Linked DNA regions of Notamacropus eugenii. The protein of the gene in region 1 interacts with the protein of each later gene in a pairwise test. Links are inferred from orthologs where the notes say so. Each region holds a gene or a part of one and is shown in the gene's direction. Other genes may lie near its edges. The genes, in order: ALAS1, TMSB10, POLDIP2 and PPL.

Region 1 (7,847 bases):
CTAGACTCAGGCTTTGCAGATAAATAGATTCTGGGCTCCCTCTCCTTCCAGCCCACGCTCAGACCAGCAGGTCAATTTCTCCCCTATACATCTTGGTTCTTGGCTAGAGTGGAATCAAACTGTTAAAGCAATTGCCGTAAAACATTCCCCTGAACTGGACAACACTCTCCTCTACTACCTTAGCCCCTGGGGAGAGTGGGTAAAGTGAGAGCTACAAAACCTTCCTTCCACTGAGTTTACTTCTGCATGTCCCATAGGAGCCATCGTGGCATTCAGAACATGGTTTCTCTGTTACCAGGTCAATCGATCCATTGCTGGCCTGGGTCAAGAAGCTGTGCTGACTCACTGAACTTGGCTGCTGTGGCTATGTCAACTTCCTGTGAAATCCCATCCCTGAACCTCTGGTTTATCTCTTGACCTTTTGAGGTTCACAAAACCATTCTATCTCAGATAATCATTCACCTAGGACTAGTGGAGAATAAACACAACAGCTTTAGAAGAAACAAAAGTACCGTATGTTTGAGGACACATGGTGACCAGGTACAGGCAGGACTTCTCCACCCAGAGATTTGTAGCATTTTTTTCCCCTCCTCCTTTGAAAGCTGCCAAGGAGAGAGAAACAGAGCAGCCAATTAAAAGGATTTCATCGTTATGAAGCAAGACAAAAGAAATAGTCACAGAATGCTTGCATATTCTCTGAAGAGGAGGGCAGGTCCATCCATCATGCATACCTGAGAGAAGTCTCACCAGGCCTCAGTGACGGTTGGCCACAGGCAAAGGACATTGTGCATGCTTGAAGGGCTTTTTATTGGCTAGTTATACATTATAAATATATGTGTGTATGTATATAAAATACATGTATATGTGTATATGCATATGTATGTATATGTGTATATATGTGTGTATGCACACACATGTACAAGCACATTTTGATGCTTTTTGTCTGTACAGAACGTTAAACCTTTCTAGTGACAAAGAAAAACAAATAAAAACATGTAATGAATAAAAAACTCTAATGTAGATGTTCCATTCGACAACATACACAATAATAGATCCTAGCAGTGTCACTGTCTGCTCTCACCACTCTCTGCAGTAAAGGAGAAAATACGTTTCATTATCTCTTCTCTGAGACCTTCACTGGTTTTTCCATTAGTCAGAGTTCAATTTCTTTTAGTGATCTTTTCATTTACATTATTACGATCATTGTACATATTATTTTCTTGGTTTTGTTTATTTTACTTCACATCAATTTATACAAATCTTTCCTGTTTATCTAGATTCCATGTGTCATTTCTAATTGCACGATAATATTCCATTACATTCACAGATCACATTTTTTATTCATTCCCCCATAAATGGATATGCATTTTGTTTCCAGGCCTTTGCCACTACAAAAAAAAAGTGCTGCTCTAATTGTTTTGGTACATACTTTGTCCTTTTGTTCTTGGCATCCTTGGGGCTTGGCCGGTAGTGGAATAACTGGGTCAAAGAACACGGACAATTTAGTTCCTTTTATTGCAAAATTCCATAGTTAGACTACTCTACTCCACCAAAAGTTCATCTACAAGCAGGTCTACCCACAGAACTTCTGACATTAACTGGATTTTTCAGTTATCTTTGCCAATTTACATGGTGTAAGGTGAAACCTCAAGAGCTATTTCAATTTGCATTTCTCTATCAGTAATTTGAAGCATATTTTCATTGGGTCTTTATATTTTGCAATTCTTTTGAAAACTTCCTTTGACCACTTATCAACTGGGGAATGGCTCTTGGTTTTATCTATGTGCATTTCCTGTACCCAGGTCATTTCTGCAAGATCTTCTGAAATCAAAGGATAACATTTGAGGTCTTGCATGATGACTTGCCCTATTTAAAGTCGTTGGCTGCTCCCTCACTATCTACTTTTTCCTCCTTTGGGCTCCAGTTTTTCACTAATATGACAGTTCTCCTTGTCTTGGTTTAAAGAATGCTCTCTATGTTTGAGAAAACAGAAATAATTAGGTGTTGTGTACATGTCTGCTTTCTTTGAATCCGTTATTATTGCTTCATCTGTCCCAGAACTGCCTATCTATCCTCTGCTTCTTCCTCTTTTTGCCTGCAAGACCACTTTTTAAAAGTCCTTCCCTTTGCCTTTAACATCTTTGGCTGGGGCAGCTAGGTGGTGCAGTGGATAGAGCAGGAGTCAGGAGGACCTAAGTTCAAATCTCACCTCAGACACTTGACACGCACTAGCTGTGTGAGCTTGGGCAAGTCACTTAACCAAATTGCCTCATCCTGAGCCATCTCCAGTCATCCTGATGAATATCAGGTCACTGGGCCCAGATGGCTCTGGAGGAGAAGGGAGGCTGGTGACTTGCACAGCCCTCCCTCACTCAAAACAAAGTCAAGTGCGAGTCATGTCATCATTTCTCTGATGGCATGGTCTTCTTCGGCAATGAAGGATGAACATACGCACACAGAACATCTTTAGCAAGCTTGGGCTCATCCTTATGATGCCATCCTTACTGGACTAGCTCCAGTATTTTTCTGTATTTGCTTTCACTGTTGTATACCCTCTTTTCCATCTTTTTTTCCATGTCCTTTAAAACCCTCAACTCAATGGATGCAGTTACATTTGCCTCTTTAGGCATTAGAGTCATTTGATTTATATCATCAGGATTTCATTTAAGAATCTCTCATCCTATCCAAGATGTTCTTAGCATCATGTCATTGTGCAGAATGAAAATGTGGAAGGGACTTTATAATACAGAACATAAAATGTTAGAATTGGAAGGAACCTTAGGATGTAGAATGTCAGAACTGGAAGAGACCTTAGAGATCATCCTTTATCTTACAAATGGGGAAACCGAGGTTCAACCTTGCTCTAGGTTACACTGTGACAAAGCTGAAACTTGAACGCTGGTCTCTTAATTCCAGGCTCAGGAATTTTGTACACGTTGCCCTCCATGGAAATGGATCTTTCATGTCCTCGGTGTGGGTACACCCTACAATACTACAGATTTCAACATCTCCAAAGGTTACACAACCTTTATCCACAGGCTTCCTATCAATCTTCCACAAGAGGATCCACTTGATGTTCTGGGAGTTTCTCCAGGTCTCTTGACTACCTTTTTAATAATAACTCCCATTTCTATGGTGCTCTGTAAAGCCCTGTGAGGTAGATCGTGCAATTATAATTATCCCCATTTTATGGAAGAGGAAAGTCTAGTTCAGGATCCAGCTAAGTGCCATTGTTAAGTCTCAGACTCAAGTTTCCTACAGTGGATAGAATGCTAGGACTGAAGTCAGGAAGATTCATCTTCCTGAGTTCAAATCTGGCCTCAGACACTTTCTACCTGGATGATTCTGGGCAAGTCACTTGAACCTGTTTGTCTCCATTTCTTCATCTGTAAAGTGAGCTAGAGAAGGAAATGGCCAACCACTCCAATATCTCTGCCAAGAAACCTCCAAACGGAGTCAGGAAGAGTTGAACACAACTGAAAACGACTGAACAAGGACAACAGACAAGGTTTCTGAGTCCCACCCCACTCTCTCTAGAGTGTTTTGGACATGGCTGGTGCCTAATAAAAGTAGGCTGAATAATATTTTAAGGTTAAAGGTCCATAGTCACTTCATTTTACCTTATCTTTTCTCATAGCTTTTTAATATATAACTCTCTCCAATCTCTCTTCATTCTAATGCCTTTCCTCTGTTAATTATTTTCTATTTATCCCGTCTACAATCGATAGTGTACATATTTGTTTGCGTGTTGTCTCTCTCCCGTTAGACTATAAGCCCCTTGAGGGCAGGGACTACCTTCTGCCTCTTTTGGCACTCCTAGCACCTAGCGAAGTGCCTGGCCCATGAAAGGCACTTCATAAAGGCTTATTAACGGACTTGGGCAGCTAGGTGGTGCAGTGGATAGAGCCCCAGTGCAGGGGGCAGGAGGACCTGAGTTCAGATCTCCCCTCAGACACTTGACACTCACTAGCTGTGTGACCTTGGACAAGTCACTTAACCCCAACTGCCTCATCCTGGGTCATCTCCAGTCATCCCGATGAATGTCTGGTCACTGGATCCAGATGGCTCTGGAGGAGAAATGAGGCTGGTGACCTGCACAGCCCTCCCTCACTCAAAACAAAGTCAAGAGCAAGCCACGTCATCACTCCTCTGACGTCATCACTCCTCTGACGTCATCGCTCCTCTGGCGTCATCGCTCCTCTGACGTCATCGCTCCTCTGGCGTCATCGCTCCTCTGACGTCATTGCTCCTCTGACGTCACGGCCTTCGGCACCGAGGGACGAGCATGCGCACTAACTGCCTGATCAGAGGGAGGCCTGTCTACGCCAGCCCCTCTGCTCACCCAGTTATCCTCCCCATATATTTCCCTTCTCTCAACCTTAGTTTCCCCATCTGTAAAATCTAATTCAATTGTTCAGTTCCACGGCCTTCTCCGTGCCACTCTCCAAAACCCCGTGGAGGACCCTGTCCGGAGGGAAGGACGGACGTGGCGCTCAGCATTCGTCCGAGGCAGGGACAGCGAAGGGGCCGCGAGGGGGAACAGGCTGTGAGGCGACCCCAGGCCCCTAGGGGGCTCTGGCCTGGCCCCGCGGGTTGGGAGCCGAAGGGTTAAATCCTCCAGCCTCGTTCCCACCCGGCCTCGCGGAGCGCTGCGAGCGCGTTCAGGAGAGGGGGGAGGGCGAGCGCTGGACGGGGCACGTGACGCCGTGAGCGGGCACGTGACGCCGTGAGCGGCGGGGGCTGAATTGCGTCTGCGCCGGAAGGAGTGCGTAAGGAGGGGGCCGAGTAGTGCGACGGGAAGAAAAAAAAAAAAAAAAAAGGCCGAGCTGCGCCTGCGCGCTGGGCCTTCGCTCTCTATAACTTGAGAGGCTTGGGCGGCCTTAAACGCCTTCTCCAGCCAGAAAGCAGAATTGTGACCTTAGTCGCTCCGGCCAGCAGGTCCCAGCCTCGCCGTAGCCGCCACCTCCTCGGTTCTGTTCAGGTGAGGGCCGGAGCGACCTCCCCTCGGAGCCTGCCCCGCCACAGAACTGCCCCCCGATCCTCCCTCCTTCGGACCGTGCTCAGAGCCCCCGATTATCCGTGTTCCCCTGCCGCCCTTCGCCGAGATTTCCCCTTATCCGTGGTCCCTGCCCTCCCCAGGACCCTCGATTATCCGTATTCTACCGCCTCCCCCAGACCCTGCCCAGGACCCCCTTTTATCCGTGTTCCGCTGCTTATTCTCCCCCCTCCCCGTGATCCTGCCCTTCCCCCACTCCCTCTGGTTATCCGTGTCCCACCGCCCTCCCCCACGATAATGCCCCCCCAGCACCACCTTGGATCGCCCCAGAGCTCCCGTGGTCCAGCTTCCCTGCCCCAGGGCTCTCACTGGTCCCTGCGCCCCCTCTCCTCTCCTCTCCCCTCCCCCTTTAAGGCCCGCTCTGACCCGCCCCTTCATCCCCTTCCTCGCTAGTGCCCCCTCCCCTCCTCGGGTTTCCTCCCTTGGGGTGACACTGGAGCGGCATCACTTGGGCCGGGCCTTTCCTCCAGGACCCCCTGGTCTTCTCTTCCCATCAGCCCTGTGCCCCCACTCTTGGATCTCCCCTCCCTGGGACTCCCACTTAACCCCACCCCAACCCCCCTCTGCCCTCATCCCCAGACCTTGGCCCCCCATAGATGGCCCATTTATTTCCCATCCCATTCCCAAGACTCCCAGTTACTGTCTTTCATGGGTTCCACCTAGGGAACCCAGAATGATGCCCCCCACTGCTCGTGGGCCAGGGGGAGGCAATGCCATTCCCAACCACATTGGCCTGGCAGGCCCTGGGGGCACCAGGAAAGCCCCTTCCGCAAGGACTGCAGCCCGGGCTCTTCCCTTAGGGGCTGTGGGGGCGCCGTGAGAGGACCTTCTCCCTATCAGTAATGGTCCAGCCATTCTGTGGTCTTTCTGTCCCCCCAGCCATTTCTGAAAGTACCAGACTTTGCAAAGAGTTTCTTGATTTATGCTTGTCCATTTACCATCGGGGCTGATCGTGTGCCTTGCTAGGCTGTGCCAGAGTGGGACAGCCTCAGACTTGTTACATTTGAACACTTTCCTGCAACATAGTTTCTCTTTATATGTCAGTGCTGCTCAGTTCTAGGTTGCAGTGGATACCTGGTCCTTTGGGCTTGGAAGGAAAGGTCCTAGGGGATGGTCTAACATTATTCCAAGCTTATTGATACCTGTCGGTGGCAACGGCGCTGGTGGTGGTGGTGGTGGTGGTGGTGGAGGAAGTGGTATTCACAGCCAATGGTTTTACAGGATCCTGTCCTTTCCCTCAAAATGGAGACCATTGTTCGTCGCTGCCCATTCTTGTCAAGAGTACCCCAAACCTTTCTCCAGAAGGCTGGCAAATCTCTGCTCTTCTACGCCCAGAATTGCCCCAAAATGATGGAATTTGGATCCAAACCTGCTTCTCGGGCTATGACCAGTTCACCAACTCACTTCCAGCAAGTTAAGGAAACACCTCCAGCCAGTGAGAGTGAGTATTCGTTTATTTATTTCATCATCATGGAACTATTACTGTGTCCCCATCTTTGACTAAACCCAGAGCAGTTTTAACGTTTCCCTTGTTACATGCTGTGCTTTTTATTCATAATCTTTAGGCATTTGTGTCTTAGAAGACGCTTCATTATCGTGGGACACTAAATGCTAAGTTTTAATGTTCAATTACAACATTTTTTTTACATTTACCAAGTTTGTCGTCATTTAGCTTTGTAAATTGCAGTTCTGAGTGTGAAGTTTCTTTCATGATTTTTATTTGTTCCCCCCCCTGTTTCATCCACCTTCGTTTCATTTTATTTCTGAAAAAGGAAAAGCAACTGTAATTTTTATATTGGCCTGGCAGTTGTTAGGAGAGGTTGGGAACCTCTTTTCAGGTCCATTTCTAGTCCCCTAAAGTCTATACATTCCAGGGGTTTCCTAGTTGTATACCCACAGTGAGGACTTTTATGTGGAATCCTTTAGGGGGAAAATGTGATAATGTTTGTAGACTGTTCTTTTTTTTTAATTTGCCATCAGTTACTGTAGTCATCTGTGCTGACATAAACTTGAAATTCCTTCCTAGCCTGAAGTTGGGAAAGAAAAACAATAGTGAAACACTTTCCACAAACTGTAGGAAAGGCGAGGCTGTGACTCATTGGGGTGTTCCAGCATCAGTGAGGAAGAACATTTCTAGAAGGAAAGGTGATCTAATTTGTTCAAGGGGAAAGGGAGGTCATTCACATTAGAAACACAGTTACCAGCCAACTGTTTGAAGGCAGCGTGTTCCTTCAGAGCACTGAAATGAGAACATAGGTAGTGCTTGTGAACTATAAAACTTGTTTATAAATGTTATTTCCTGAATGTGAATTTCAGTTGAACTTCATTTAGTAAAAATCTTAGGATCTTTTTTGTTCTGTTTCTTGGTTAGTTCTATGAAGCAGTTTATCCTTTCAATGAGACCAGAGGTCTCTTTGTGCAGATCAGGTTCTAAGGTGATAATTTCTTATATCAACAGGAAGGAAACTTTGAAAAAGTTTTAATTACTGAAGTGGATATACCCCCAAGTGAGCTCTGTTAAACACTTTTGGACAAGATCAAGATTGGAAATAATCCAAGTCACAAACTCATGATTGCTTAAGATTAATTACTTTGAATTTATATTCAGGAACGAAATGAAAACAAAAGGCTATTGGGATATATCACTTAATCAGTTCCTGAAGTGATTCAAATGAATTTTTAACCTTTCATAAGAGTGTGGTCTCATAAATGACTAGTTCACTACTAGTAGACGGGAGGGCGGGTGATTCTGACTCACTTCCATCTTTTTTTTTTTTTTTAACTTTTTTTT
Region 2 (6,587 bases), about 730 Mb from region 1:
CTATACACCTAAAGAGATCAAAGGAAAATGAGAGGGATTCATGAGTACAAAAAATTTGTAGGACCTCTTTTTGTAATAGTAAAGAACAGGAAACTAAACGGGATGCCTGAACAAATTACATTAATGGAATGGAATGAATGAGATGGGTTCATTGAAATCTAGGAAGACTTGTATGAACTGATGGAGAATGAAGTGAGGAGAACCAGGAGAATCATTTATACAGTAAAAACAACACTACAAAGACAAACAACTTTGAAAAACTTAAGAATTCTGCTTGATATAATGACTCATCATGATTCCAAAACACTGATGATGAAACATACTATTTAGGTGATAGATACAAGAAATAAAAAGAAACATACATTTTTGTACTTGGCCAATGAAGAAATATATTTTGCTTGTCTATGCATATCTGTTAAGAGATTTGTTCTTCTTTTCTTTTTTCAATGGGGTAAGGTGTGGGAGGGACAGATAAATGCTTGTTAATTGAAAATTAGATTATATATACATATATGTGTGTGTGTATATATATATATATATATATATATATATATATACACAGATATATAGTGTCTATGTATGTTTCACTATCAGCCTCACTTCTCTGAGGAGGGGTCCTAGTAAAGGATAATCTTATTTTTGTTTTTAATTTACCTAGTATAATTTACTATTTACCTTGAGCGAGTAATTTAGTGCCTATTTTTAAAGTCAGGTTAGGAAGTAAAACAGGATAGCAGAGGAAAATTTGGCTATAAGTTAAACAAGAGCAAAATTTTCACAATACATTTGGGAAAAATAACATGAGTCCTAAAGGGAACTCATTAAAAGAGAAGAGATGGGTGATTATGCATATTATATCCAAGATAGAAAATAGACAATGAAGTATCCAGAGGGGTTCAGTTTTCTGGTAATTGGGTAGAGAGGAAGTCAGAAAAGTACAATAATTGTCTCACACAAATAATAAGCAAAGGGTTTTTGACTGATGATTCAGTTTAAAATGAAGCTTAAAGCTGGGAGAATTATGTGCGAAGAACTGAGCTCTTTACAAGAAAGGCACTAGACAAATCTGACTTAATAGTATTTGCAACCATATTTGCATCATTTTTCCCTATTCTATTTCTTCTCTAGTTTTTTGGCCAAGGTAATGTCCCTATTTTTTTTTCTTACCTAAAAATATTTGGAGTCTTAATTCCTGAGTTCAGACAATCAACAAACATTTTATTAAGCATCTAATACACGCCAAGCACATCAAATCCTGTTACAGCTATTCAGTTCCTTGGCTGACACTATCTGGGGCTCAAGCTCCTCCCATCTAAAATGAAGGCAGTGGAGGTGGCCAGGCTGACTTCTCCTGGGATTTACTATTTGGGGGTTGAGCAGATTTCTGTGACTGCATATAGACGAAAGAGGAAACAAGAAGCACGAGCAGGAATAGTTGATGTGACAGAAATAGTCCCTGAAGTCGTGTGCATTCCTCTAATCCAGACACAGACAATGCCAGTTCAGCTCACACCAGGACATTCTGGGCAGGCAGCCTCCTGAGGACAGGCGAAAGAGTCTGAAAAATACAAGACTGAGAGGGATCAAGCATGCCTTCAATATACCAGACTCCTAGAGCTAGAGAGAATCTATTGAAACTTGAAAGTGACAAGATCAAAGGAAACTTACTTTCATTGGAAAAGTGGGTAATTCAGGTGAATTGTATCCAGCTGTGGTTCAGCACAGATTGTCCCCTTACCACTCAATGAACCTTCCTTTGTAACCAAAAAACAAAAAACAAAAAAGCTTTGTCTCTCTCTCCCTCCCACCTCTGTGTTCCCTTCCCTACCTCTCCTCCTCCCCCCACCCTGTCTCTCTTTCTCTCTCACCCCCTCCCTTCTCTATCTTTCCCTCCCTCCCTCTCCCTCTCCTCCCCCTATCTGTCTGGCTCCCTCTTTCTCTGTCTGTCTCTCTCCAGCACTTAGCACAAAGTCTTGCACTCGATTTGTGCTTAATAAATGTTAGTGATGAACAAGGAGTTTTCTGATGAAGTAATCAAAACAATTTATTTATAGTCATATGAAAGAAAATGCTTGAAATCATTACTGATTAGAGAAATGCAAATTAAAACAATTTTGAGATAGCATTTTACACCTATCAGATTGGCTAAAATGATAGAAGGGGGAAATGACAAATGTTGGAAGTGATGTGGAAAAATCAGCACCTTAATTCATTGTTAGTGGATCTGTGAGCAGATCCAGCCATTTTGGAGAGAGATTTGGAATTATGCCTGAAGAGTTATCAAACTGCCTTTACCCTTTGACCCAGTAAAACCACTATTAGGTCTGTTTCCCAAGATGATTAGGGTAAAATGGAAAAGAAGCTACATGTTCTAAAATATTTATAGAAACTCTCTTTGTGATGGCAAAGAACTGGAAATTGAGGGGATGCCCGTCAAATGGGGAATGGATAAACAAATTGTGGTACATGTTCATGATGGAATATTACTCTGCTATAACAACTAATGAGTTCAACGATTTTAGAAACCATGGTGAGACCTCCATAGAATAATAAAAAGTGAAATGAGCAGACGAAGAGAACACTGTATACAGTAACAGCAGTATTGTTTTAAGAACAACTTTGAGCACCCAGGTCACTCTGACTATAATAAATACCCAAGTTAACCACAGAGATCCTATGAAGAAAGATACTGTTTGAATCCAGAAGAAGAACTGATATATGTATATGTATTAAGTACATGTATATGTGTATATATGTATATGTACATATATTTATATACACATGTATATACACTTATACACGCAGATTTGTGTCTAGTGGTAGCCATCTCAAAATTTGGGGAGAGGGGGAGGGCTTAAAAAGTCACATGATAACTTGTACACATGAAAGGAATAGCAAATTGTACAGGATGGATCTGCAATTTCAGTTGCAATCCTCTGTTTTTCTATCTACTTTGTTATGGAAATGCTTGTTTTATTTCTTAAGTTCAGAATAAAATAAATAAATTTAAGTAAAAAAAACAATAAAAATATTAGTGGCATTGAATTCACTGGTTGTGTCTAAGGCCCTAGGGATAAAAAGACTGTCTGTCTCTCTGTATGCATGCATGCATACATATATGTATATCTACATACATATATGCATATGTGTCTTTTATACATGTATATATGTGTTATATTTGTGCGTGCGTGTGTGTGTGTGTGTGTGTGTGTGCATCTTAAAGGTCCTGCCCCAATGGTAGACCTAAAAGGAACTACTGACCAGGGGCAGGTGCATCCCCCGAAATGACCCCTGGTACACTCAGATCTGGTTGGGAGAGGTTTTTTGAAACCTCTTAAGTTGTTGTCAAGGATAGCCGTGATTCCCACATTAGAGGAACTGGCTCGAGGTCATACACGTAGTAAACATAAAGTGAGGAATTGGAAAACAGGTCCTTGACTTCCAGAACCCGGGCTCTTTCCGCCCCCGCCCCATGTTACCGCGTCTTTTTCTTTCTGAATAAATTTTATCCTGTTGCCGGACAGTTTTCCTTCTGCTTTCCTTCAGTCATGGTTCTTCAGACCGGGTAGGGTAAGGTTGGGGGGACAAACCCGGGGCAAGGAACTGAAATCCGTTTACATGTCTCATCATGGTTCTGACTGTGCTTCTTCTTTCCCTGTGAGACGCAGAGAAAACGCTACCAGACTAGAGAAATGAATCTGGAAGTAAAAACCAGAATAAGAAACCAGGAGAAGCGCAGCAGAAATGAAGACCCACCCAGTTTAGGGGTGGGGTGTCGGGGAGCTGCAGAAAGCCTTCCGCACCTCTGGTCTTCATCCGTACCCCTTCTCCACAGTGACTTTGCAGAAGCTAACCGAAAGCATCGTAACAGAATGCATAATTTTCTCCGCGAGGATCATTTAAAAGGGGGAGAGTTAAGAAACGGTGGGAGTTTTAAATTTTGTTTGATGGTTCATTTTAAAATAAAACTTCAGTATAACAGAGAAGTTTCTGTTAAGGAACTTGAGAAAGCTGGCGTCCTTAATTTGTAACTGCAATGTGGATGGATGGATGGATGTGAGGAACTAGTGTAGGGTGTTTGTGTGTGTGTGTGTGTAATATGTATTATATACACACATGTATATATGCCCGCGTCTCTATGTGTGTGTTTATAAATGTATATGCATGGAAATACACAAATATATATTACACATGTGTGCATATACGGATATACACCTATTCATAGATGCACGTTTACCTCATGACCCCATCTCATTGGGGAATGGGAGCTGAGCCAGATCTGCTTATAAAAAAAAAAGTCTCCCGGGAAAAGCCGGGAGGCCAGACTTTTCCGCCCTTGAGGGAAAGAGATTGCACCGTGTGCCCACGGTGCATGGAAGAAGTCCATCCGCCAGGTCTAGGGGGCTCGGGGCAGAAGGTTCTGGATGCCGTGCGGGGCCGGAGCAGCAGCAGCCACCGCAGGTGGGACTGCGGTGATGGAGCATCCAATCCTGATCCCGCCCGCACGAGCGCGGGAATCAGGATGCACGCCCGCCGGCTGGGCTTGAACCCGGGAGAAACAAAGGTCTGGAGGGCACCAGCAGAGAGCAGGCTGGGCCAGAACTTGGCGGAAGGGAGGGATGGCCCGGGAGAGGGTCTCCTCTACAGTCTTGCAGACAGGGCCTTCCAAAAAGAAAACAGAAAGACCAGTCGGGAGGGAGACAACCCTGGGAACGGGCTCGAGTGTGTCTGGGACGTGCTCGCGGCGCCAGGAAGGAGTGTGCATGTGTGTGTGCGTGCATGGCGGTGCGTGTGTGTGTGCGTCCCCGGCGGTGTGTGCATGCGTTCGCACACGCCTCCGGCCACCGCCCCTAGCTTGCAGGCGCTGACCGACCGCATGCTCCCGGGTGGGCGGTGGCCGGCGAGGCGGTGCTCTCCCGAGAGGGGGCGGACCGGGGGCGGGGCAGACCTCCGGAGGCGGAGGGCTATATAAGGCGCGGGGCGGGCCGCGCTCTTTTGTCTCTGGCTGCAGCCGCAGGAGCAGGAGGCATTGGGAGCGACTGCGGGCGAGGTGAGCTCTCGGGCCGGGCGGGGGGCGACGGGGCGGGGTGCGGCTCGTGGGGATCTCTCGCGTGGCGGGCCGACGTAGAGACCGACGGACGGACGGACACTGCCGACCGGAGCGCGCCCCTCCCTCCTTGCCCCGCGCGTGGACCAGAGCAGGAACCGCCGCCGGGCTGTGCTGGGCTGCGGGCCGGGCCGGCAGCTGGGGCGACGGCGGCAGCGCCGGACGTGGAGCCTTCGGGCTTGTGGCGGCGGCGGCGGCGCTGGGAGATCCTGACCGTGAGCGGCTGCGGCGCCGCTTTCGGACTGGGAGACAAGCCCCGGACGGGCGGTACGGGGTGGGCGTCCGGCGAGCGCGGGGCAGGGCGACTCTGGCCGGGTCAGCCCCGTCCGTTTGACCCGCAGGCCTCTGGGGATCCGAACATGGCAGACAAGCCCGACATGGGGGAGATCGCGAGCTTCGACAAGGCCAAGCTGAAAAAGACGGAGACGCAGGAGAAGAACACTCTGCCCACCAAAGAGAGTGAGTGCGACCGCCCCGGAGCCCCTGGACCACCCCCAGCCCACCCTCGCCGTGGCCCACCCTGGCTGGGAGAAACCCCCCGGGCGGGCGGCGTCCCCGGGCTCCCCCAAGCCCTCTTCCTCTCGGGCTCCCCCCCGCCCACCTCCCCGTGTGCCCGCCCTCCCTCCTCTGGGATCCCTGGGCTACAATGTATCTTCTGGTCCTGCAGCAATTGAGCAAGAGAAGCGGAGTGAAATTTCTTAGATCCTGGAGAGACATGCACCTTGAAGGGACTCCCCACCCCCCACCCCGGTCCTGGTTTCGAGGGAGCATAGATAGCCACCTGCATTATCCACATTTAAAGAAGAGATGCGCTGGGAAAGAGGGCCAGCGACGTGGGCAGTCACCCCTCTACGGACGGTTCTTTACTGGACTTTACAATCTCGAACTGCCACATCCTGACCAGATTGCCCTGCGATATTATAGAAAGTTATTTGTATGACTGATGAAAATAAAGATTACATTGTGAAATGCTTGATGTGGTCTCAGTCACTCCCTAGGTTGTATGCTCTTGATGGGCATGCAACACCCCTCCTACCTTGCTGCCAACAAGGCAGACCTAGCCCAATGCCGAAAGAATGCCTGTGGCAAATGGCTGCCGCCTGTAGGACTCGAGGCACAGGTGATTTTAGAAATGGAATTCCTTTTGTAACAAAATGATAGAAAAAATGAGGCTGTAGCCCATCACAATTACTCCCTATAACTAACTTGGAGGTGTATGTTTCCACCCTGAGCCTCCCGGTTGATAAGGCCGTCCTGGAATTTGGTCAAAAAGGTACTGCCCTTGGAGCAGGCTTTGGGTCTCGTTCTCTCTCTCTCTCTCTCTCCCTCCCCCCCCCTCTCTCTCCCCCTCTCTCTCTCTCCCTCTCTCCCTCTCCCCCCCCCCAGGGAGGCGAACATTTAAGCCAAATTAAAATTCTGTAGTTTCACAAAATAAATGATGTGAAAATATACCCAATATTCTCGATCCTAAGATATTTCA
Region 3 (7,848 bases), on another chromosome or scaffold:
TGAAGCTGTTGTCTTTGACGTGTCCCTAAAAACCACAGTGCAATGCAAAAATCTTGCAATAAAAAACAAAGTTTGTGGGAGAACGGGGTTAGGACAACAGTCGATAATGTCACCAGGGACACATTTAAAAAAGATAGCAACCTAACAAAAATGGTAGCAGTTCTATACATATTAAATGGTCAAGAAATACATAAACTGTACAAAAAACAGCCATGGCCCCTGCAGCCTCAGCTGATGCTCTGCCAGAGTCCCAGTTCCCACAGGGCCCAGGTTGCCAGAGTCCAGCTGCTTTGGGGGGGAGGGTGGTTTCAGTGGATGGCAACTCCTAGGCTAGGGATGGGTGCTGGCCAGAAAGGAAGGTGGGGGAAGAAGTACACAGATCAGCCCTTGGCAGCTCATAGCTCCCACTGCACCATAAGACATAGGGCACTTCACCTTGAAAAAGACCAGGAGTTTGCTTGTGGAACTGGGTGTTGGAACGAACGGTGGATGCTTATGAGTTATCATGAACAGGTGTAGTTTTCTGTCAGATGAAACGGTACGTAAGCAAACACAAAATCTGAGTCATGCTCAAATTGTTCCCAAATATATCAATCACAGTGGAACAGATTCACAGTTTTCAAAACAAGCATCATAGCAGAAGTGACTGTATGTTCTTTGGAGTCAGAGGAATGACTTATGTGGTTAAAAATAGACATATAGGTTTTACTACCCCTTCCTCTCCATTCTTGTATCAGAGGACCTGGAGCTTTGAATGCAGGAAGCCTCAAAGACTCCGAAGGGAGGGAAACATACACAAAATCACCAAGATGGATGCCAGGAAGAGCAAAAAAAATCTTAAGGTAAACAGGCAGAAACTGAAATAGACAAAATTCCTTTGCAGGGTCTGGCTAGAGGCTGCACGGGTAGGTTTTTCCTGCCTCAGTATTCTCTACTGTTCCTCTTTGAGTCCAAATGGGCACCAGCTTGGAGTGGGCAGTGACCTCAGTCCTGTGGTGTTCAATGCAGGTGGCTGGGTTTGAGGGGCACGGGCAGGGATGAGGCAGTGGGTGTGGTAGCAGCCCCAGTCCTCCTCCTTGGACCTTAACCCAAGGCCACATGCAGAGGAGTGTCTGCTGAGTGATGTGAAGGGCCAAGGTTCTGAAGTAGGCTGGCAGCTGTGTGGAAGAAAAGACAGAGCAAAGCCCCCCATCCCAGGATTCATGGAACATCCTTGGTACCCAAGTGGGGTACCAAGCATTAAAGTTCTCCAAGTTCTCCTTCCATGGCCCGAACCATGACGTAGAGCTCAGCCAGACCCACCACAGAGGCCACGATTACTGCTGCCAGCACCCTCTGGGAGAGAGAAACAGTGGGATGGAGATAGTTGCCTGCTTTTGGGCCCTACAAAGTCTCTTGCTCTTTCCTTCCTCCAGCCCCCCAGAAAAAAGTTTAAGTTCTGGCGCCTTCCCGTGTCTGGGTAGGTCACATAGGGACGCCATGAGGGGACCAAGTTTCTCTGGGGATGATGGCTCACCCTTGTATTCTATATGCATATTTATGTTTTGTTCCCTCGAACGCTTAGCTGCCGCCCTTCTGCTACCTTCTAGAAGCATACCCCATGTCCTCAGTCTGGTAGACTACTCCTCTAGCCCAATGCCCCCTTACCGCAGCCATTTCCGAGAAGATGTACTGACTTCCAAGGTAGGTGCAGGTAAAAGCTGCTGCCACAGTGACGATGAAGTTAAAGATGGAGATGACCACTGCCTTCACTGACCTCACTGGGAGCCAAAGTGAGATGGGACAGAGAGCTCAGTCATATCCTGGGGAGTCCTCTTCTCTGCACTGCAGGAAGCAGGCGTGTGCACACATATATAAGCATGCGAGCCCCCTCCCCGCTCTAACTAAGGATCTCAGACAACTCAGGGGGCTGGTGCAGGGAAGGATCATAGTGGTGACGAACTTCCTGTCCCACAGCTTCCCAGAGTGTCTCACCTTGGCAACCAAAGTCAGCTAGCATCCCATTGCGCCTTGTGGCCTGAGAAGAAGAAAAGGCAGATGGTATGCCATGATACAGAAGTGTTCAGTTAAGATTAGCACAGGGCACTCCTCACATTCTTCCTCGTTGCCAATTTTAACTTTTTCTGCCTAAGCTGCAACGCAGGGGTAAGTTACAGATCTCCAATCATCAACACTGAGAGAATTGGCGTTTGTAGACTACACAGTCTGCCCCAGGTTTTGCCTCCAAAGATTTAAGTGAACAGGACTTCTTTTTTCTGCTCGAACAAGCTGGGGGCTTTCTCTAATGGGCCATGACCAAAATATCAGTTGACTTGGTCACTTGCTAGCTAGGAGATCTGTGGGGCAGTTGGACAAAGAAGAGTGAGGAGATATGAATTCTAACCTCAGCTCTGACACTAGCTGTGAAGACACTCAGTCTCTCTGGGCTTTAGCTTCTTCATCTACAAAATGGGGTAATAATACTTGTATAATGGATATGTTAAAGAATCTGAAGAAAGTACTTGGTAAACTTTCTACTAGAACGTAAGATCCTTGATTTAAAAAAAAAAAATGTTTCACCAGTACCCAACCCATAGCAATGCCCAGCACACAGCAAATGGAGTCTGTTATTCAACCGTAGCTTGATCTTAAATTTTCTGAGCTTGTCTTCTCATCTGTAAAATGGGATACCATATTCTCTGCTTATTTTAACAGAGTTGTTATAAGGAACCAAAAAAGATGTGTGAAAAGCTGTTAGAAAAGTATGGCATGGTTTATTCTCTAAATAGAGCCCTCTGGTGCCTAGAACAGACCTCCAGGGGCCAAAAAGAAACCCATCTCTCCTGTGCCACATCCTTCTACAATGAAACCATTAGGAGCATCGATACACTCTGTATTTCCATGGTTCCATGCAACTTAACCTCCTTTCTGTTGGCCTTTGTTGAGTATGAACCATCAACTTACTAGTTGAATTTTTTAATCCATCCATCCACTGTCCTGAGTGAAGCTAAGGAATACCTATTGTTTGAGGAAGGTAAGATTTAATGTTGAAATGGCTTTGTTTTAATTTCAGAGCCATAACGGAACTTGTCTTTAAACAAAGTTTAACCATGTATTTTTTGTTTTTCTTTCCCATCAGATTAGGAAATCTTTGAATGAAGAAACTTTCCCTTCCCAAGGAAGACCCTAGAGGCAGAAATCATGCTTCCTTCCTCTATAGTTCTCTTCCTGATTAAAAAAAAAAAAAAAGCCTTTGTACATAGTCTGAGGCATGAACTGTCAGCCCTCACCTGGCAAGAAACATTTCTGGTGATCCGATTGTACTCCTCGTTGGCCAGCTGCACTTTGATCCGCTCCAGGCGGGCGACCAGCTCTGGATTCTGAGGCAGGACAACATGGGAAGTGTGAACCCCCTGGCCCACCCAAAGTCTCCCCCTGCCTCACTAGCTCTCATCAAGGTTCTAGATCTAAGGCTTTTGATCCTGAAGAAACTGAGCAGAATTGGGACAGCACAAAGTAAAGGTGGGATGCGCAGATGTGGAGCATCCACCCCAGATATGCACACCGACTGAGCACTCCTAGCTCCTACTGGTCTGATCAGCCACAGTCGGACACACTGAAACTTGGCTTTACCATGGGGATGTCATTTTGGAAGATCTAACGTCATGAGGCTGCAGCAGCTCAGGCTCTCTAGGTCTAGGCTTTTCTGTACCTAAGAGGGGGTCGATGCTACAGGTGAATACAAGCACCCACTGGGCCAAGGCTCCCCGCCCCCATCACCTGTTACCTACCCTGGGGGGTCTCACCACCTCTGGGAGATGGATCTCACTGCCTTCCAGGAGTTCGTGAAGGAAGGGAGGGGACCCTAGGAAAAGAAGGTTGGTACGGTGATTCCCACCCTGTCTGCCGGGTGGGGGCCGCTCACTTTGACCCCCGAATGGGATTTGTCAATGAGAAATGCCTGACCCACGAGTGACTCCTGCTGCGCAGGCGGGGCATCACGACTGACTTGGGAGTAATTTCCGTGACTGCTGGGGGAAGAGGCCTGGAAAAGGGGGAAGGTAAAGCACGATCCCTCGGGTTACTTTCACGAGTGGGCACAGACGAGCGGGCCCCAAAGGGCTAACGATCGCCGAGTCATTTAAATCTCCTTTCCCTCGATGTTCGCAGGAGCCAAGCGTGAAAGAGGAGCGGCGGCCTGCTGGGGTCCGGACCCGGAAGTGTTGGGGATCCCTCAGGACGGCCCCCAAAGAGGAGACTGACATCTGGGGCGGCAAGGGGGCGGGACTGGAGTCTCAGTCCGCCCCTTCCTCTGAGGCTGACCCAGGTTTCAGACGCGCGTGACTCGCGCGGGGTCACCCCGGCCGGCAGCGAGGCCAACGGGGGCTGCCATCCGAACGCGGTGCCTCGACGTGTGCGGCTCGGGGGCACGCGGCGAGCCCCTCTCCCCTCCCACCGCCCGGAGTTCGCTCTCACCCTGCTCCCGGAGGTGTTCGTGCAGCTCTCGGAGCAGGCGGAAGGGCACCAGGGGCCGGGGGTCTTCGCCCTCGCCCTCGCCCTCGGCGGCCTTCTTCCTCCTCAGAGCCGCCTCCAGCCGCGCCCGCAGCTCCCGGGGCAGGCGCTCCGCCTCCAGCTCCCCTCCGGCGCTCAGGGCCCGTCGCAGCCGCTCCCCGGCGCGCACGGAGGACGCCATGTTGGGTCGGGAGGTGTCAGGTGACCGGAGGCGGGGCCGCCGAGAACTTCCGGGCGAGTCCTAGAGCGACCTCTCCGGGCGGGGCGGGGCGCGGCGCGCGGGGCCTTGTGGGCCGGGGGCGGGGCGCGGCGCGGCGGAGGCGGCACGCAGGGCCGCGCGTCGGCGTCCGCGTCTGTGACCGTGAGCGAGTCCGCGCGTCCGCGGCGGCCCAGGCGCCGACATGGCGGGCCGCGTAGCCCGGCGGGCCCTAGCCGTGGGCGGCCGCTGCTGCTGCTGGTGGCCCCGGCAGCTGGCGGGGGCCCGGGCGCTGCGGCCCCTCGCGACCTTGCCCCCGGCCGCGGCCACGGCGCGGAGACACCTCTCGTCGCGGTGAGGCGGGGGGCGGGCCCGGGGGGCCGGGCCTGGGGCGGGGGAGGCGGGCGAGGAGAGCGGAAGCGCCGGGGGGCGGGGGCCGGGCCTGCGTCCGGCCCAGTTGGGACTCCCGCCCTGCCAGGACGGCGCGCCTGGCTTCGCTGCCCAGAACCCTAGAAAGGGCCGCCTTGGGGTTCCGAGAGGCTGATTGATTTGTCCAAAGTCCCCCAGCTCGTGTGTGTGTGTCTGTCTGTCTGTCTGTGTGTGTGTTTGCAAACCAGCACCAAACGGTCACACAACAAGCATTTATTAAGCGCCCCCTGGGGAGCAGGCCCTGGGCAAAGTGTTGGGGTACCGAAGACAGCTCTGCCCTTGGGGGGCTCCCTATCCTATGGGGGAGGCAGGATGAGCAACAACCGCTTGGGATGAGAGGAGGTAACACGCGGAGGGGGCGGCACCGTGCCTGGGCTCCCGTTCAGCCCCTAAGCAGACATTAAGCACCTGTTGTATGCCGGGCGCCCCTGCCTGCAGAGAGCTTCCAGTCCGAGGGAGAGGACAGGCTGTAACTAGGCCCTTAGAAGAGTCAGGGGAGAGGGGATTGGCATGGAGCCTTGAAGGAAGAAGGGAGAGAGAGGCAGAGCTGAGGGGCCAGCGCCCTGACGGAGGGTGGGGGGAGGGGGGGAAGATGGGAAGGGTGAGGTTAGGAGGAGTTTGATGGGGGGGATAGGGAGCCCCAGCAGGGCATGGAGCCTGAGCAGGGCAGCAAGTGAGGGAGCCTGGAGGAAGCTGTGACCCCTGGCCAGCGGGCTGGGGGGAGGGCGGGATGCCTGGAGACTCTGGTTTCTGTTTTGTGTCTCTATTTGTCCTTAGCTCATGGTAGGCGGGTCGCATGGGAGCTCCCTGGGCACAGGACCAGTTCATTTTTTGTCCTAGAATCCTCAGTGCTGAGCCTGTAGCGGGTGCTCGGTGAATTCTTGTTGAATTGTGGGGTAGGGGAAAGGGGGGGTCCCCAAGAAGCCTCTATTCAGGTTTGTGGTTAGCAGGGCCCTTGTGCTACTCATCTGCCAGGGGCATTTGGACTCAGGGGTCCAAACCTGCAGGTGACTTGTAGAGCAGTGAGGCATCTGAGACCCTTGAGTCCAGCTCCCTAATTTTACAGACGAGAATACCCAGGCCCAGGAGGGATATATGATTTGCTTAAGGTCACACAGTGGGCACCTGAAGCCACTTCCCCCCCAGCCCCAAAGCTGTGCCATGCTGCCTTCTCCTTTGGCCATAATTTCTAGGCTTAATTCTTAGGCCTCAACATCCTAGGTCTCCTGTGCTTGAGCATGGACTTCCCTGAGGTTTAAAGTCTGACCAGAGGTCACAGAAGGACTCCCAGGCTTCCTTGTGGCTCCTGCTGGAGACTCGAGGGGGAAAGGGGGCCGGTCTCATCTGCCGTGTCTTTGCAGGGGAAGGTGTGGTGGGCACATCTGATGAAGAAGCCTGGAAGGTTCAGGGGGAATCAGAGAGGCATCCCCAAAGCACGTGGCATTGCAGGGAGTCTCCCCAGCTCCGACTAGAAACTGAGAGGGTTTCACTTATTGTAGTGCCTAGAATTAGGGATGAGCCCCAAGAACATGTGGACTGTCCTGATTGGAACCTTTAGAAGCCCTTGCTTGTCTCTCAAATAAAAGGGAGGGAGGAGGGAAGAAACAGTTACAGAGCACCTACTGTGTACCAGTCACGGTACACATCCTTCTGATAACCTGGTGAAGTAGGTGCTGTTGGTATCTCTATTTTACAATCGAAATTGAGACAGGCAGGTGAAGCAACTTGTACAGTCCCATAAGGGTCTGAGGTTGAATTTGAATTCAGATGTTCCTGACTCCAGCTCAGACTTTACTGCCCCCTAGTGGCCTCAAAACAAAGCACCTGCCATGTGGTGATGGGTCGAGTATCCTCAGACTTTCCCCACGTAGCTTGCTCTGTCCCTTAAGCTCAGTAGCTCGGTCATTTCTCCTGATGGATGGAGTGCCCCAAACCATTTACTTCAGTGTTCTTCTCTTCAGAAACCGACCAGAGGGCAAAGTGTTGGAAACAGTTGGCGTATTTGAGGTGCCAAAGCAGAATGGGAAATATGAGACAGGCCAGGTGAGTGTGGGGAAGCCAGGGTGGTGGGGGTTGCCCTTTCTAGTCCCTGGCATTGGCCACTTGTCTTAAGGGCAACGAGTGCAGTGCTTGAGCCCCTCAGCTTTGGGGGTGGTCCCACTGTGCTGCACATGAACCGGGGCTGACTTGTGGGGTCAGATCAGCGGAGTGTGTGATAATGATGAGCACTTTTGTCGAATCATTTGAGTTGTATTGGCAAAGATACTGGAAGGGTTTGCCATTTCCTTCCAGCCCATTTTACAGATGAGGAAATGAGACCAACAGGGCAAAGTGACTTGCTCAGGGTCACACAACTAGTGAGTGTCAGAGTCTGGATTTGAACTCAGGTTTTCAGGGCTCCAGGCCTGGCGCTCTGCCCTCTGGGCCACTTAGCTGCCTGAATAATGGTAACAATAGCTAACATTTGTCTGGTGCTCTGAGTGCTTTATGTATACGTGACTATTCTCACAGCAGCTCTCAGGGCCAGGTGTTGCTCTTATCCCCATTTTACAGATGAGGAAATAGACTTGTTCAGGGGTCCTCACTTAAGTGTATGGAGGGATGATTTGGTGGGGGACTGAGATGCAAGTGGAAGAAGGCCCTTTGAATCTGCTCAGGAGGGGAGTGAGCTCAGGGCTCATAGCAGCAAGCACTTTGCCACTTGGCTTGGAAGGGCACAGTTACCCCAAGCC
Region 4 (7,606 bases), about 80 Mb from region 1:
AGGGATTCTGTGGGCTTCCAGCGGCAATCTTTCCCACCCCATGATTCTGGGAAGGCTCCACTATACACAGATAGATGGTTTTGCTTATTTGGACCTGACCTGTGATTTCACTGGAATGGGCAGCTCCAGGTAAGGAAACTCCCACTACCAGCTGGTTATCTCTAGAACTGAAACTCATAATCCTCTTAAGGATTTGCCTGGGGGCATTAAGAGGTTAAGTGACTTGTCCAAGGTCACACAATTTATGTTATAGGCTGGATTTAAACCCAGGTCTTCTTGACTGTTGGGTCAGCTCTATTCATTACAGCAAACTGAGCTCATATATATATAGTTACTTAAATAAATAAGATATTTCAGATAACCATCACTATATCCAGATGCAAACATACAGACACAGAAATGTAAACTGTGTGAACACTGATAAACACACACACACACATACATATAGGTGCACATACTCCTCTGCTCCTAGACCTCTAAAGGGTGGAGAACCAGTCCCCTCATGAACAGCAATTCATATTCCTCCCTGAATCTGCTAATTGGGCTAGCCTAGTCTGGCCCCAGTCCAGCTGAGTCATCTGGATTTCTCCCCAAGGCTGCTTGGGGCCTGAGAAACCATGGGGTGAAAAAGGGGACTAGTATGGATCCCTCAGTTTCTCAGCCACTGACAGGGAGGCCCTATCACCAGGGAATCTGTAAGAGAGTTTTAAAACAAGAATCTACAACTATTCTCCAACCTTGGACGACCATGCTATATACCACTGAGGTCAGTTTGAGACCCTCTTGTTAACAAAAGACCTAGAACATGAAGACAGATGCATAGCCAGGTTGATATGCCAAAGTGCTCCCCCTAAAGTTAACTACCACTTGTCATTCCTCTAGGTGTAGACACTAAGAAGAGTTCCCTGAGTGGAGGAAGATAATTCAAGGGTCCGGAGAAAATGAGAATTTTGATAGTTTGAGTTTTGTTGACCACTAGACCTAGAATCAGAAAGACCTGAGTTCAAATCCAGCCTCACACACTTACTAGCTATGTCACTCTGGGGAAGTCACACACATACACACACACACACACAAACAACTGGCTGCCTCAGTTTCCCCAACTGTAAAATTGGGCTTATAATAGCACCTACCTCCCAAGATTGTTTTGAGGATCAAATGAGATAATCTTTACAAAGCACTTAGGAGAGTACCTCGCACAGAGTAGGTGTTTAGTAAATGCTTACTCCCACCGTTTCCCTTACTGAATTCCATACAGGACTTGGTTCTACCTATTGATCCATCTATCTTACACACATTTCTTCTTTCCTTTTGCCATCCCAAATCCTCTCCTAAGAATTATGATATGAAAAGCAATATGGTGTAGCTGATGGTGTATGAGACATGGAGTCAGGTGAAACCTGGGTCAGTATCTTGGCTCTGCCACTTGCTAGCTGTTTGAACATGATCAAGTAATTTCACATCTGAGTTTCAATTTCCTCATCTGTAAAATGGAGAGGAGAATACCTGTAGTACCCACATCATAAAGTTGTGAGGATCGCATGCAACAATGCATGTGAAACACTATATAAATGTCAACTATCATTTCCTGAATCCCTATAACTTCTTTCCCTTGAATTCCCAGTTCCTAGCTTGACCTGATGGGTACAAGTCTACAGTTGCAATCCTTCAATCCTGATGACACTTTACCAGCCTGATGACCTTTGATTCCCCACTTTCCCACTCCCCCTTTTCACCCATTTTGTGTTTTAGCCAAAGTAGTATTCACAGTTCTCCTAATACATCCTAAACTTTCCTAAGGGGCAGCTAGGTGGAGCAGTGGATAGAGCACCAGTTCAGGAGTCAGGAGGACCTGAGTTCAAATCTCATCCCTGACACTTGACACTCACTAGTTGTGTGACCTTGGGCAAGTCACTTAACCCAACTGCCTCATCCTGGGTCATCTCCAGTCATCCTGATGAATATCTGCTCACTGGATTCTGATGGCTCTGGAGGAGAAGTGAGGCTGGTGACCTGCACAGCCCTCCCTCACTCAAAACAAAGTCAAGTGCAAGTCATGTCATTATTTCTCTGATGGCACGGTCTTCTTTGGCAACAAAGGACGAACACACACTTTCCTACATCCTTTGATCCTGTTCCTCCCATCATCCATGAGTGGCTATCTTCCATCTCTGACTATTGCAATCTTGCAATATTATTGTAATTATTGTAATCTTTTAAAAAAAAAACAAGTTCAAATGCTGCTATCTCTTGCACAGAACTTCCTTCTACCCCTCTGCCCAGAAGCAAGCTCTCCCTGCTAGACTGGAAACTTTTGTTCAGGTCAAGGGCAGGGTTTTTCTCAGTGTTTTGCATACAGTGGTCACTAACTGAATGTTAGTTGAATTTCAGTTGGTTGTGTGTACTGTACAACTTAGAGTTGGAAGAATCATGCCTCTAGGGAGCACTCCCTGAGCAGTTATTGATCTTCAAGGCTGAGATGGACAGCATTAGGCATGGACTAAACCTCATTGACAGAAGTCTTGGCTGGAACATCCTGCCACCTGTCTCAGCAGACATGGGAACCAGCCAACTAAGCACTGCTAGCAGCCAAGTTCTGATATGCCAGGTCTGGATTGTTAAAAGATGCTTCAAGGATAGAGGAGTGGAGCGATGGATGTAGAAGGAATGGGTGAATACGACCAAGGCTCAAAATGCATCATCCCAACAAAAGGGGAATAAGTATTTACATAGCCCCTACTATGTGCCAGGCACTGTGCTAAGTGCTTTACCAATCTTACATCATTTGATTCTCACACCAGTCTTTTGAGGTAGGCATTATTATTACTATCCCAATTTTATGAATGAGGAAACTGAGGCAGACAGAGGTTAAATGACTTGCTCAAGGTCATGTAGCTAATCTGAGCCTAGACTTGAGCTCAGTTCTTCCTGAATCCAGGCCTTCCAGAAAACCTTTGCTAATCTCTATAATTGGTTGTTTAGGTGGAACAGTCTAGGCCTCCTAGAGAGTGGGGGGACCTTTCACACTAGACAGCAGAAATCTCATAGGCCAGAAAAATAAATGATCCTTAATTCCAGAATAATCTGTCTGCTAGGCACAGAGAGAAGGAAGAGAGGAGAGAAGGAAGGGAGGGAGATCTACTTTTAGCAGGGATTCCACTTGTAGTGGCTCCAGGGGTAGCTGTGCCACCCATACACTTAACACAAAAGTAGTTCATCTTTTCTGATGTTCAGTGAATCTGTGCCTTCATCAATTCTGTCTCACAATGCAGATCACAACTCATCAATGTCTGACAGTCCTGGGCAACTCTTACCTGTCCTATCGTAAATTCCCCACAGGGGATCTGCCCAATGTGCTGAGATTTCTTGACATTGCACAAATATGAACGGAGTACACTGGTCACCCCTCACTCTCATTATGTCCCATGCCTATTTTTTTTCCCAGGCATACATTTGCCTGACGATAGTCTTGATGTCCCTCTATGTAATTTCTCATTCCAAAGTGCTGTCTTACTAACTGTACAACACAAGATCTTCCTTAACTCTTTATTACAGTTTTAAAACTTGAATACATCAGGTGTAAGCATGATAGAAATAGTCTATGAATGACATGGAAAAACTAATTATTTTCTTCTCATAGATGATCCAGGATTTACTCTGCTAACCAGAAAACCAGATAGACATTTTTATCTATAGCGGATATTTTTATATGAAACAAGATCTAAAATAAGAGCATGCTTTATGATTGTATTATGCAGCTGTCTTAAACTTTAATAAATTTGCTTTTAGATGTTGACAAGTTCTTTCTATCATGCTTACAACTCAATTTCTTTTTTTAAATGTATTTATTTATTTTTAGTTTTTAATATTCACTTTTATAAGGTTTTGAGTTCTAAATTCTCTCCCCCTCCCTTACCTTCTCTTTCCCCAAGACAGCATGCAATCTGATATAGCCTATAGATATACAAGCATATTAAACATATTTCCACATTAGTCCTTGCAACTCAAATTTCTTGAACCTGAAAAGTTCACAAGGACTGGAAGTGGTAATATGTCATGGGTGTGTTCTTTAATTTCCAGCGTACAGAAACCTGGCCCTGCAGGATCCTTCATGTTATATGTGCCTACTAACCCGTATTCTGGGTTTGCTGTCCCTGGGACAAAAATCTGCCTGGGTGCGCCCAAATTAAGGAAGCCCTGCTTTGGAGTCTTGCTATGAGGGGTTTCATTACTGCCAGACCCGGAAACCCCCTCAGCATCTGTAGTCTGTGGGGCAGAGCTGGGTCACAGCCAAGACTCCGGGCCAAAGGGAGGGAGCTTGGTTGGCACTTTCCACAGAGTTTGCAGCTGAACTTGCAGCTGATGCCCGTCTGCTCTAACCTCATCCATGCCAGTGCCACGCTTTCACGACCATCTCCCTTTTAAACATTGGGTGCCTATGTAAAAGGAAACAAAAGTGATTCTCACGCGCGCCCTATGCATGTGCGCACTGGTCCTGGGTGCCGCCTCACACCCTGAGTGTGGGTAAAAAGGAGAGGGAGGGGAGCAGGGTGGGAAGCTCCACCCGCCTGGGTGACGTGAAGGTAAGCACCACCTTCTCCCAGGAAAGGGAGAGGGACAGACAGCCTCTGGAGCTAGACCCAACCCGGCAGTGCAACCCCGCCCCCCTGGAGTAGTGACCCCGAGCTAGAGCTGCGGGCTGCAGTTGGGGGCTCTCCTGACAGCCGCTCTCACACCTGCCCGGGCTCCCGCTCACCCTCCCTGCGCAACTGCCCCGCTCCAGACCCCCAGTCCTTCAAACACAGGCGCACACCGGCGGGCAGGAGCTGTGCACACACCGAGGGCAGAATGAACTCGCTGTTCAGGAAGAAAAACAAAGGCAAATACAGCCCCACCGTGCAGACCAGGAGGTGAGGAAGCGGCGGCGGGTTGGCACCTATGGGCTCCTTTGCCCCAAGGAGAAGCTCTAAGCTGGCTGGAGGGTGGGAGGGGAAGGGATTCGGCTGAGCAGGGAGAGGGGACGCGAGGCTACCTGCCGAATGACGTCCAGCCACCTGCTGCGGGAGCCGCGGCCGCCAGTGCAGCCGGAGGGTCCTGCTGGAGGGGAGGCTGAACCTTCGGGCATGGGAGGATGTCGGGGGCCAGAACCACAAAGCACCACCCTGTCTTTGGGGCTGACCTTTACGGAGTCGGTGCTCAGTCCTGGCAGGGGTGTGGCTCCAGACTCCCCCCCCACGTACACCTCCACCCCAGCCTCGAAACTGGCAGGCACCTCATTAGCTCAGGTTGGAAGAGCTGCCTGAGAAAGGAGAATAGCATGTTTTGATGTGTTTGGATTAAAGCAACAGCCCACGTTGGTTTGATAAGTACTAATGTGCTCACTTAATAACCGGTTTGGGAAAACCCTCATCGAGATAGAGTTCGGACACAGAGGCAGAGCCAGCTTGGGGAGGGGAGGATGAGACGGAGATGGCAGCGGGGTGGAACTCTGGACTTCCTCTGGCCTCCAAAGGGCAGGCAGCATAGGAAGGACTCCTGGGGTCCTCGGATTCTCACTAGGAAAAGCTACTCCAGCTTCTTGCCAAAGTGGGTACTTTGAGAGCTTGGGGTCGGAAGGAATGCCTGGCACTGATGGAATAATAATTCGAATTTGTAGAGTTTAATGGGGGTCTTTCCAAACCACAGTGCCCTGAGGCAGGTGCCGCAGGCATTGTTATGCCTACTTCGCAGATGGGCTAAGTCAAGACTCAGGGAGATTAAAACAGTCGCGTTAGACTTGGATTCCAAAGGAAGTGTCCTGACTCCAAGTGGGATCTTTGCACTAACTCCATTAACTCTCTACCAGATAGGAAGGGGTATCAGTGTTCTAAAATGTCAGTAATCTAAAAATAGTCCACCTCACTGACCCTCTCTCTGATAACAGTTTTCATCCCCTATGTATATAACTTTTCTTACCTCCTTTCTCTTCAGTCTGTGCATCCAACCTATCCCATTCTCACTGCCCTTTTCCCCATGAGGGACCTGTGTGAAAACTAGGACTTTCCCAGGAGAGTTCAGTGAGAACTTGGGTTTCAGATTCCCTAAACAGGTTTGTTCCTAGGGCCCTGAGTCCTTGTCCAGGATTTGATGCTGTTTTGGGTCATCCGGCAGGTATTTGGACATCTTTATGAATGAGATTTTAAACAGGGATGGGGTGGAGGGTTGTCACAGAATTCCCCTTTATATATAAATCATTTTCCAAAGTTATTCTTCATCAATTCTATTCTACATGTTTTTTATTTTTTTTTTTGAGCACCCATGTACTAGAAGCTGTGCTGGGATTGGAGAATACAAAAAATAAAGAAAAAAGAAAAAATATACATACAAAGTAATACAAAGTAATTTTTCAAAGGAAAGAGCGCTGATAATCTCATGCCTTGACTTTTTCTAGAGAAATAACGTTTATTCCATTTTCTTTTCCCTGCAAGGTCTCAGCTCTCCTGTGTCCCCATTCCCAAAAGATTACAGAGTCTGGGCTAGGCAGTAGAAAAGGAAAGGACAATTCTCTTTTCAGCTGGCTGTATCCTGACCCAGCTATCAACACCAGACCAGGGTCAGCTCCTCATTGCCTTTCTCCACATTGTTGCACAATCAGATGCTCTGTGCCAGCCTCAGAAGGCTCTTCTCTCTCAAGGGACTCCTGCATTCTCTGCCACAATTCCTTTAAAATCCACTTCACCTTGCCTTGTTTTGCTTTCCTGTATGCCACCCCTGCTCCTAGGAAAACCCTGGGTAGCCCAAATCCTATTTTACTATCTCTCCCCCTTATTTCCCATCACCTTAAAGCTTAAGTCTGTAGAAAAAAAAAATAAGATCCTGGTCACTTGTAAAAACACTAAGGGAAATGGGAAATAAATCTGGCTCTGGTTCTCTGGGCAAAGCAAGTGGAAAGAAATGCCCTTTCCTGACTTGTTTGAAGTCAGAATTCTTCTCTGCTGGTGGGGAGAGGGAAGGGGGGATAAGGGTAGGAGGGAGGGGCAAACAGATGGCACAGAGATGGGGGAATGGAATACATAATGAATACCATCCAACTGCCCCACCCCTTCCCTACTGGGTTATGCAAAGGCTGAGTAAATCATACTCCCCTCCTCAAAATAAATGAGCAGGTGGATGTGGGGCCTCTCCCCAGGGCACCAAGGTAGGTGCTTTTGGCACATTTAAAGGGAAAGGCTCTTGGTTCTAATTCCAAGAAAAGTATTCTCTGTGGAAAGTAATAGCTTCATCCCAGGCCTTTAGCAATTGGAAAGGAAGAAGATCCAGAGGACGGAGCAAAGGGCTGTATGGATGCTCTTCAATTGGTCGATCAAAAAATTTCCTATGGAGTGCCCACTCTATCTAGAAGTTTCCTGTGTAGAGAGTTTTCTTTTAATTAACCAATCAAGAATTTATTCATAGAATCATAGTTGTAGGTGATTGGAGGGGGAGATGTCTACCAAAATAGGGCTGTTTTTTTAATCATTCCAAGATCTCTAGGCTCTTCATACAGAGAACTCTGAGGCCCAGAAACTAAAAGAAATTCAATTCAGCTAGTACTTATTAAGTCATTACTTACATGCCTACCACTATA

What was found.
Region 2: the proteins of ALAS1 (region 1) and TMSB10 interact in binary tests that used the Homo sapiens proteins (3 or more experiments, as listed by UniProt). The two-hybrid records come from large-scale screens. The link is inferred for Notamacropus eugenii from reciprocal best matches to the Homo sapiens genes ALAS1 and TMSB10.
Region 3: the proteins of ALAS1 (region 1) and POLDIP2 interact in binary tests that used the Homo sapiens proteins (3 or more experiments, as listed by UniProt). The two-hybrid records come from large-scale screens. The link is inferred for Notamacropus eugenii from reciprocal best matches to the Homo sapiens genes ALAS1 and POLDIP2.
Region 4: the proteins of ALAS1 (region 1) and PPL interact in binary tests that used the Homo sapiens proteins (3 or more experiments, as listed by UniProt). The two-hybrid records come from large-scale screens. The link is inferred for Notamacropus eugenii from reciprocal best matches to the Homo sapiens genes ALAS1 and PPL.

Annotation. Positions count from the first base shown.
Region 1 is NC_092872.1:2,462,234-2,470,080, reverse strand, and holds the start of ALAS1 (5-aminolevulinate synthase, non-specific, mitochondrial), read left to right. Parts: upstream 1-4,829; 5' UTR 4,830-4,981; intron 4,982-6,277; 5' UTR 6,278-6,298; coding exon 6,299-6,497; intron 6,498-7,847.
Region 2 is NC_092872.1:727,696,364-727,702,950, reverse strand, and holds TMSB10 (thymosin beta-10), read left to right. Parts: upstream 1-4,939; 5' UTR 4,940-5,050; intron 5,051-5,165; exon of another isoform or gene 5,166-5,448; 5' UTR 5,449-5,466; coding exon 5,467-5,566; intron 5,567-5,774; coding exon 5,775-5,809; 3' UTR 5,810-6,076; downstream 6,077-6,587. UniProt on the Homo sapiens protein: Plays an important role in the organization of the cytoskeleton. Binds to and sequesters actin monomers (G actin) and therefore inhibits actin polymerization.
Region 3 is NC_092873.1:35,677,368-35,685,215, reverse strand, and holds the start of POLDIP2 (polymerase delta-interacting protein 2), read left to right. Parts: upstream 1-4,841; 5' UTR 4,842-4,892; coding exon 4,893-5,041; intron 5,042-7,077; coding exon 7,078-7,159; intron 7,160-7,848. Other genes in the region: VMA12 (transmembrane protein 199), read right to left, coding at 1,240-1,335, 1,648-1,760, 1,975-2,017, 3,270-3,359, 3,771-3,844, 4,456-4,672. UniProt on the Homo sapiens protein: Involved in DNA damage tolerance by regulating translesion synthesis (TLS) of templates carrying DNA damage lesions such as 8oxoG and abasic sites.
Region 4 is NC_092872.1:82,288,738-82,296,343, reverse strand, and holds the start of PPL (periplakin), read left to right. Parts: upstream 1-4,592; 5' UTR 4,593-4,848; coding exon 4,849-4,910; intron 4,911-5,032; exon of another isoform or gene 5,033-5,160; intron 5,161-7,606. UniProt on the Homo sapiens protein: Component of the cornified envelope of keratinocytes. May link the cornified envelope to desmosomes and intermediate filaments. May act as a localization signal in PKB/AKT-mediated signaling.